2 linked regions of the Drosophila melanogaster genome follow. The protein of the gene in region 1 purifies or fractionates together with the protein of each later gene. This does not show direct contact. Each region holds a gene or a part of one and is shown on either strand. Other genes may lie near its edges. The genes, in order: E(Pc) and CG12054.

Evidence for each region.
Region 2: the proteins of E(Pc) (region 1) and CG12054 purify together in Drosophila melanogaster (affinity purification with mass spectrometry, with the first as the bait; one large-scale study listed by BioGRID). This does not show direct contact.

What each region holds. Positions count from the first base shown.
Region 1 is NT_033778.4:11,450,108-11,455,245, forward strand, and holds the start of E(Pc) (enhancer of polycomb), read left to right. Parts: upstream 1-2,081; 5' UTR 2,082-2,276; intron 2,277-2,661; exon of another isoform or gene 2,662-2,778; intron 2,779-3,285; 5' UTR 3,286-4,209; coding exon 4,210-4,362; intron 4,363-4,426; coding exon 4,427-4,562; intron 4,563-4,717; coding exon 4,718-4,956; intron 4,957-5,025; coding exon 5,026-5,138.
Region 2 is NT_033777.3:31,219,051-31,223,951, forward strand, and holds the start of CG12054 (uncharacterized protein), read left to right. Parts: upstream 1-1,651; 5' UTR 1,652-1,792; intron 1,793-1,862; 5' UTR 1,863-2,315; coding exon 2,316-2,415; intron 2,416-4,901.

The sequences.
Region 1 (5,138 bases):
GCGAAAAATATACAGAAAAGACGATACAGTTACAAAATTAGCTATGCACTTAGAGAAACACACAACAAACGACTCATGAATATACTATAAACCAATGGTGAATTTTTACTACTTGTAGGCGCGTTTTTGAAGAATAATATTAAATCCGTTTGAACAGCCCGATAATGCTGGGCCTTAGCTTCACATCCATAGATTCCTCACAATACAAAAAGCACTAAATTAATATCAAAGATCTTACCAATATAGCGGAATGCTAACATAATGGATTATTGGTATTGGTTGATGAATATTGCAAGGAAATGAGAAAAACCAAAGAGACACAAAAAGCCCACAGAACCAACTCTCTAGAAGAATCAGCAGTCGATTTTATGTTTTAATTTGAGTTATGGTTTAGTTTTCGGTTTCGATTATCCATCATGAAAATAGCAGATAATTCAGATTTTAAATTGACTTTACACCTCAGCTCACCACGCACACATCTAAATAGTGCTTCCCGCCACTCACCTCAATTCGCCATTTCACCCACTCACCCCAACTCACCACACCAAGTGGCGCACGCGCCACAAATTCCACCAGTGGCGTACGCAGGATTCTCTCAAAGGGGCTTGAAAATATTTTCTTATTTTCATTTAATTCTGTAATATGCTGAAGAAGAAGAGCCCTCTCCCTGCGCACGCCACTCTCTTCAACCACCAACACGGTTGCGCAGCCGCGACAGAGAGATATGCCTTCGCTCTCTCGCAGCTGCGCCACGCCCACCACCCACAGCCACCCACGAAAATGGTGCTTTTTCACATACGACACCACTGTCTGACTATATTTTTCATCATGTACGCCATCGCAATCCATGCCACAGTGGTCGCAATGCCGCGACAGCCGCTCCACAAGTGCCACCAAATACTATTTTATTTGTGTATTTATTTTCACCGAAAATGAATTCCTGCACTTTGTGGGCGGCAGGCGCGCGTGCATTGCCGAGCATCTGAAACGTCGAGGGTAGAGATGAAAATATCGGGCGCCGCCTGTCACCGGCGAGTATTACCCAATATAAATCGCTAATGGCCACAGGCGGTCGCCGCCCCAACTGTAATTGTGAACGTCCGTGCGGCCATTGCCCAAAAATGATTACATAATACGATCGAACGAACCGAATGAGAAGCCAAAGAACTAAGGATACGAAAGCAGCTGAAATAACGTTGGAGGATCGGCGCGGGATTTTGGCAAATCGAGCTTCTTCTGCTTGGGGCTTTTCAAGCATAAGGCTTTGAGGCTTTCTTTTTACTAAGCAGGTGCTTCCAACTCGCTTTGCTGGACAAATGCCCGACATAAGTTACCATTCAAAATCGCTTGGCCAAATCAGCATTACCCCCACAAATTGTTAAGGACTAGCGAGTAAATTTTAATCGTATTCTCGAATATAAATTGAGCAAACTTTAAGTCAACGAGCACATTTGAAACTATCAAGACATTGTAACCAGCAAATAAACAAAGTTAAGCAAAACAGCGAGTACGAAAAGCCTTGTAAGAGATTATAATAAAACAAAAGCATTTAAAGGAAGTTACAAAGTGGAGTTATTATTATTTGTATGCTGTATGCACAAGTTTAATTTAAAGAATCCAAATAAAATTCTAAGCTATCCAGCACACAAAATAAAACAAAAATTGTTTTACTCATTTAATAACTATATCTATAATGTCGACTGTTCAGCAAACAAGTTGTAAATACAAATTTGAATTAACAATTTTTTATAAATTTCGAATGTTAAAGCCCATGCGTTAGCACATCTTTGCCGATGCCGCAATTGTGAGTGTTTCCGATAGCTCGCACGAAATGCACTAGCGCATGAGCACTCCGAATTATTTGCACACCACTAGCTGGGCACCTGGTGAATGGGGCTGCGTAAATTAACAACAAAATAAATAAATGCAGCTTGGCCCCGGCTATCCAAATGTATGCATGCGACCCCTCACAAAATTCCACAGATTTAGATGAAAACCGCACTCAAAACGGTTAACTATTTCGCCTGGAGGCCTAGCCAAAATAATTTCGCCACTGTGGCGACGATTTCGTTCGACTCCGACAACTCCGAATTTTCATTCGTAATGGCCGCCCATAAGTAAAAACGTGTCCCGCTGCTGAAGAACGATTATACGCGTTTGCGCTAAGCCAATTGCTTGAATTTAGCTGTAAACGGTGCGGCAGTGGTAAATACGCTGAAAACCACATCATTTAATCATATAAGAGGCCCCAACGCCCGGCAAAGAGTGTGAAAAAAGTGCGTGAAAAAATCTTAATCGATTTTTTTGTTTGTGAAAAAAAAATCATGCAGCGTTGGGCATAGTGCTCGAAGAGCTCGCCAGGGGGCGCTGACAAACTGTTCGGAGTGTCATCGGAATAAGAGGCCGGCTATTTAGCGCTGCCAACGGCGATTAATCGATAACCGTAGCGGTTTTGAAATATATATTTTGAAAGGAAAACGTCATGTTAGAGCAATTTAAAAATTCTAGCAGTAAATATTTAATTTTTGCCCATATATGACAGGGCCCTGCAGTGAAATTGCGGCAATTAAATCGACGACCGCTTATCGTTATCGCCGCCGACGGCACAAATAAATCGCGGCCCCGCTGTCCGCGGCGTCGTCGGTGTTCGGCTCTCTGGCCGCCATTATTGCTTTCCAGCGAAACCACGCTATACGCAAAATCGGGTTTATATGTGTAAATTTTTCGGGCGATTTATCAACCAGATTGCGTTCGCTGATGCATGAAAAGTGCGGTAAAGTGTGTAAAAAATTAGCGCTGGCCCAGAAAAACATACGCACTCGATGGCTGATTACTAATTAACTAGATAAAAGCAAAAAACAAAACCCACATGAGGCGGAGTTTGATTGCGTTTTTTTTTCTCACTTAACAGAGTTCTGTACAAACAAAATGTTAGCTAACAGGGCTCTGCAAAGTGAAATATCTCGCGGAAAAGGCAGTATTAAATTCGCCGCGTTTGTTTGAGATGTGTGTTTGCGCGCGTGTGTTTGTTTATGCCGCCTTTTTCTTCGTCTCGGCTTTCTATGATTTTGCATTTTATCGCATTTAAATAAAAAAAAAAAATCATGACTCATGCGGATCGTGTTTTTGTGCGTGTTAATATTAATTTAATGCAAAAGCAAAGAAATATACAAATGTATGTGGATTTGTGAGTTTTTTCCCGCGCGCGCCGCCCTCACATATCAATGTATGCGTGTGTGTGAGAGTTGTTTACTTACTAGTTTTTGTTGTTGTTATCAATTCTAGATTTTTTATCAGCCAACCGATAACACGACAGCCAAGGCGAAATAATAATAAATAATAACAAGAAGAGGAAGTCAACAAATAAGCAAAAGAAAGAAGAACACAATATTGATTTAACCTAAAACGATGATGAACTGAAATGTGCAAATTTGATGAACGTAATTATGCCAATTCACACAGAACCTTCGATTTCAACGTGAAAAATGTCGTCGACACATTTGCTGCATTCACTGTCACTGTTGTTGCTACCACTGCGTTGTCGTCGTAATTGCCACCAGATCGTTTCCTTGGCCATTGTCCTGCTGTCGGCGCTGTCAGCCAGAGCTCCCGAGGATCAAGGAGGACGACAGGAGAGGGAGGCGGAGGAGGAGGACGAGCGGCAGGCGGACCGCCGGGAGAGTGTCCAGGGGGAGGAGGAGGACACGCCCTACATAGTCGCCAATCCACACCCAATCCTCACTAGCAGTAGCACTACGTCTTCGGCCAGGGCAACGGGCACAGGGGCTGCGTTAACCAGCTGGCAGAGCAGCCACAGCCACCGCAGCCCCGGTGCTCACGATCGGGATCGGTGTCAGGAACAGGAACAGGATCAGAAGCAGCAGCACCTTTTCTACCCCAGCAAGCCCCATCTCCAGCTAACGTATACAGCCCCCTCGACATCGAGTAGAGGAGCCAACACAACGCCGACCACGAATCGGAGTAGATCCTCCAGAATCCAAATTAGCAGTTGCAGCACTAGTCCTGCCCACTGCAGTTGGACCGCCGGAGCAATCGTAGCCTCCTTAGCATCCATAGCCACCTAAGCAGTCGATTCCACTAGGCAAACTCTCAAATCAGCCACAGCAACAGCAAATAGAAACGTTCCACACACCACAACAACCCAACCCAAAACCACCCACAACCAAAACCCAAACAAAAGCCAGCAAGATGTCCAAGCTGTCGTTCAGAGCCCGCCATTTGGATCCGTCCAAGCAGATGCCCATCTACTTGGCGGAGGAGCTGCCCGACCTCCCCGAGTACTCAGCCATCAACCGGGCAGTGCCTCAAATGCCCAGTGGCATGGAGAAGGAGGAGGAGTCGGTAGGAAGTTTCTCAGTGATCCTTTATTTTGGATGAAACTAATTTTGTCCCTTATCCCTTGTAGGAGCACCACTTGCAGCGAGCGATATGCACGGGTCTGATCATCCCCACGCCCGAGGTGCTGCAGACGGATCAGCCCTTCTACGATGCCTACTATCCGCCGGACTACAAAATGCCCCGCCAAATGATCCACATGCAACGTAAGCAAAAAGCAACTACTAGAGCAGAATAATTCGTTTCGTTTCGGGCTTAGAACATTATTTTTAAATTCCATATCAATATTGAATGAAATGCAATAACTTATGTAGTTTCGTATTATTCTTGGACTAATTTTTTACAATTGTTTAACTCTCAGCTCTTGGGCTGGATACCGAGGTCCCTGACTACGACATGGACAGTGCCGATGAGGACTGGCTCAGTCAGCAGCAGCGCCTGGAGCTTACCGAACTCAAGTTCGAGCAGATGATGGACCGGCTAGAAAAGAGCTCCGGCCAAACGGTGGTCACGCTGAACGAGGCCAAGTCGCTGCTTAACCAGGACGACGAGACCAGCATATCCGTCTACGATTACTGGCTGAACAAACGCCTCAAGATGGTAATAAACACTTAGCTTGGCTATTGGCTACGGCAATATACTAAATCAACTATCTTATTCATTCTCTAGCAACACCCGCTGATCCTCACTGTGAAAACTGAGAGTCGACCAGGCGCCAGCTCCAACAATCCGTACTTGGCTTTTCGTCGTCGCACCGAGAAAATGCAAACCCGCAAAAATCG
Region 2 (4,901 bases), on another chromosome or scaffold:
GCAAAGATATAGACGGAGATATCGATTAGTTCTGGGCTGACTTTCTGTCCCAAGAATACATTGTATCAAGTCCCACGCCGCCTCAGAAAAGTTACGTAACATGCGGAAAATCTGCCCTCGCACCGGATTTTCACTCGACTCTCAGCTCGATCTGTGCTCAGTCATCAATTGAAACCGATTTGCTGGCTTTTCCTCTGCGAATTTGCCGATTTTCTAACTTTTCCAGTGACGCAACGACTCGAGGCACACACGCACACCACTGCAAAACCAGAATGGCACACGTGTGTGTGTGCGAGTGTGCCGCAAGATGGCGGCGCATTATCAAACACGTTTCGCACTTTAATTGGCGAAATTTCACACGATTCTTCACTAATTCCGCGTTTTTTGGCTATCTGAGGCGTTTGCACGGCTGTTACCCAACAGAGGGGTGCTGATAAGGGGGGTGCTCCGCCAGCGGACGGAAAAACCCGGAAAAAGCAACTCACTTCGAACGAACCCTTCACAACAGTAAAACGAATTTGACAATTTCGCTGACTTTTGGGGGGTGCTAAGTGTGGCCGTCAGCGGGAGCTGGGAAAAAGGACGATAGGTCGATTTAATACTGGAAAGTACCAGAAATACCATTTTGGTTGAGAACCCAATCCACGGTGCAAGTCCTGGCTACACATTTTCAGCAGAGACGCGCCCCAGGAGCGAGTCTTTGCTAGAATAGGAGGTTGCCCTTGCACAATAGGCGCAGTGTGACCATAACAGTAGTGGATACGTAGAATCAATTAAATAGCCCTTTCCCACGAAACTGCGTCTTTCTAATTTTGTTTATTTATTTATACTACAAATTAATAAAATAAAATCTTTGGCGAACGGTCCATAAAAACGGGTCATTCTGAAAATTTTTCAACCAGCAAATGCAATAGATAAATTAGATAATTAGATAATTAGATAAATTAGATAAGTTTTCAATGAATTTGGCAAGTGTAGGGCCAAATAAGTATGTATAATCGTTTGTGTTTTACATGCACATAATCTATTCTTTTATTTAACTACATACATATGTATTGTGAAATATATTTTTATCATCAATATAGTTGATGAAATTATGTATATAAAATATAACCAGACTTCAGTTGTAATAATATTCATCGTGCCCTAAGTTTCCCTGTCTTTTTAAAATATATTTGATGGGGTGGAAAATATTAAATTCATATGTAAAAATTATATATATGGTAACATTTTAATAAACCTTAGCTAAGCTTCAAGTATGCCTATCCCGAAATTGAAATAAAAGTGTAATTTTATATTATATATAATATATAATATAATATATAATTAATTATTATTTATTGTTTTCATTAATTTTTACGGAACTATATATACAAAAGGAAACGACTAGAGCCCTCTGGCATCTTTTCATAATTCTATACGCAATAAACAATATAAAATTTTTTATTTATTTCTTGTAATAATTTCTTATGGAATAATGCCTTAGTAAATAACTAGAGCCGGCCGGCATATTTTCATCGAAATATAAGTTTGTATTCTCAAAATATTTAATGTTCTATAGGAAGGTGTATCTGCTAGACTTAAATTAGTTAGGAGGGTGCACTCGCTAAGAGCCCGAGAATGCAGTGCAGCCCTGGTACGTGCAAACTCACCACAGTCACGCACACCACCACAAACGCAGCGTTACGCGTCGTTCGACGTCGGTGTTTGTGTCTACGTCACGTCGGCTTAAATTATGTTTTAATTACCCAGCGGCAACTGCGAATGCAACTGAATCGAAGCACAGAATGCTGTAAGTAAATATAATACTGATGCTAATTTGAAGTCAGTTAAACCCAGTTACGCCCCCCAAAATGTTGCAGCCCTCAATTGCATAACATCACTTGCGCATGAGTGTGTGCGTGTGTGAGGAAACGCCAGAGGAGCGAAACACACCACACCGAACAGCGGCGTAGGGAAAGAGACGGCAGAAGCAGCTGAATTGCAGTACAAGCAGGGTTCATCGCTAACAAAAAAACAAGCCATGTACTCCTGCTGAATTTCGAAAGCGACTTATTATCGCCTGATTACCAACGAACAGTATTCGCCCGATCAAACGCCACATAACCCCCTAAACTCACCACAGCACATTGGAAGTGGGTGGGAGTCGCCGCTAAGCTGAAATTGCAGCCCTGGAAATGGACGTTTCGGTGCAGTGCTGACCTGGCCACACTGACCAGCCCCCGATTTAGTTGCTGTTTTTTTACATAACTCGCCACATTCGTTCTCTTCGGAATACGTGATATATATATATATATGATAATACGATATATATTATGGCCGTTTTCCTGATCAACGTCTGCAAGTACAATGGCTGCGGCATCACGTTTCCGAGCTTGAGCGATCTGATTTCCCACATCGAGGACACCCACATAGGTGAGACGGGTCGTAAACACCGTAAATATCGCTATCATTTGACCGTCGCGTGATGTTCTCGGTGTGTTTTGTTTATTTTATTTACTCGCCGCGGCATAAATAAAAAAACAAATCGGATCGCAGCGGGGCAGAGGTGTGCGAGTTCGTCAGTGTGTGAGTGCGTGAACGGCTTCGTGGTGAATTGGATGTTGTTTCTACGATATGATTTGCAGTTTGCATTCGGCATTTATTGCACTTAAAGGCAAAATCGATGCTGGAAGCCTGGAAATGGCTACCTGTGCCCACACACACCGCTGCACGCCGCACACACACGCCCTGTTTTCCAGGCGCGTACAGCATTCGTTGATCGGTGCGCTGGCTGGAAAGTGCGGGTGCGAGCGAGAGCGCAGCACAAGCAAAACAAAAGCAAAAAAGCCGGTGATCCATTCAAAACCCCGCCTGTCTGTGTGTGTGCGTGCGTGTGTGTTTGGAAGGCCAGCACAGCATCTAGTTGTTGTTTGCGGTGTAGTGGAAACCGGCGAGTTGAGCGCCCTTTTTTTGACCTGTCCGCATGGCTTGGCTTGGGTTCGGCTGTTTCTGGCGTTCGTTTCCATGGCAGGTGTATCCGCATCCGGTAATCGGAGTTGGAACTTAGAAGTTGGAGGAGATGCGCTTCTTGTCTGCCCCATGCGCCTTCCCCCTCCGCTCATACCACGCACTCACAATCACAATCGATACTTGAACTTTCCCGTCCACGTGACTCCCGTGGGCTTCCAATTAATCATTTCCACGGTGTGTGTTTACCGGCTGAAATAAACAAATTCTAATTTTAGTGATTGTATGGCGAGGGGCGGGGTTTTCGAGGGCGAAAAATCAATAGAGTTAAGCTCAGTAGTGTTGCCGCATTACGAAAACGGGGGTTTGGGGGTGGTTTAACCGTTAACGGGCTTTATTTATGCCGAACATGCCGTGCGTCTTACACTGAGAGTTATTTTTATGTATGTACGTTTGTATGGTTGACTCTTTTTGCTTTTAGAATGAGGTACTTTTTAAAGGTCGTGTAATTTATTTACAAAAACACATAAAATTAACGAGTGAGATCACCATTCATCCAAGTCAATGCATTTTCATGCTTTAGGGGCAATGTAAAGTGGTGATTGCAGAGCTCGCCTACTTTGTAAGCTGTACGTACACACGTTATTTAATTACCCTTTGCACTTCAATTTTTCTCTGTGCACAATCAGGCTCTCTTACACACGCGTAGAGAGAGGGGTTGGAAAGAGAAAGCAGAGGGGTTGCTCAGCTGACGATTACGTTGGCAGCTGTTTTGTTGTTGCCACTGCTGCGTGATAACGGTCAACACACACACACGCACACTTGAACATATAAAATGGCTGCCCGGGCAGGCTTTCCCACCTAGCCACCACCCCCTTTTGCGTCCCGGGGCATTACATAAAGCCCAGGCACGAGCATACGCCCACTTGGCAACTGCCACCCCCAAAATCGCCCAGGCCCAGATACCAAATACGCCCGAGGCCCCGAAAACCCGCATCCCCCGTTTGCCCATTTCCCCACATCCATTGCGTATCCATTACGTGAGCGAGCTGTTCTAGGGCTTATAAATGCCCATCATTTCATTATCTCGAAGGACATTCGATGCGTGGGTTCCCTGAGTGGATGGATGGTTGGATGGTTGGATGGATGGCTGGGTGCATGGATATGGATGTGTGCCTGTTATCAGGACTCAGTGGGCGTTGTCGCTTCGTTTCGGCTCGATTCGGTTGTCATGGCAACGCAAAAGGCGGCGAGACCTTCAGGTTTGTCCTTTTCACAGTTGCCAGGCACCTGTTGTACGGTCCCGAAAATGCCCGGGATAATTTATTTATGAGTGTTTCTGCACTCGCATTTAGATAACCAGCTGCGAAAGGCTAACTGCCGCAGTAAACCAAACAAATGTACCTGTGCACCTGTCAAATCGTTTTTGCAATTTTACCAGGGAATTTCATCTGAAAGATAAGATTCTAGCTAACTATGAGTCACCAAAACGCATTTGGTTTCATCCAAGATTCATTTTCAAACTAAACAGTCGCATAATAGGTACAGTTTCAGAGATTATATGGGATTTATTCCAGTTAAAATGAGGATTTTATAAATCGGGGGACTTAACAAGAAAATCGCATAAAGGTTGGGTTGCCAGCAAACCCTTTTGACCTTGAAATACTTTTGGTTTGCAAGGTTATTTCTGTGACTTTTCTATTTCTTATGAGATGAGTAATTTCAACCATCCAACCATTTATGATTCAATGAACTTTGAAGGTTATTAAATGGTTTTAATGAAAAGGTGTCCCTGCATTTGCCATGTCAACATAATTAGACTCCAGTCAATGACTTGTGTTCCTCGAATTTCTTTCTTCACAGCTATTGGAAAGTTTTTGAGATAGCTGCCGAAATGAAAACAAACCAAAACAGCATGTTCAAGCAAAAGAAAAAACATTTGTTATCGTTTT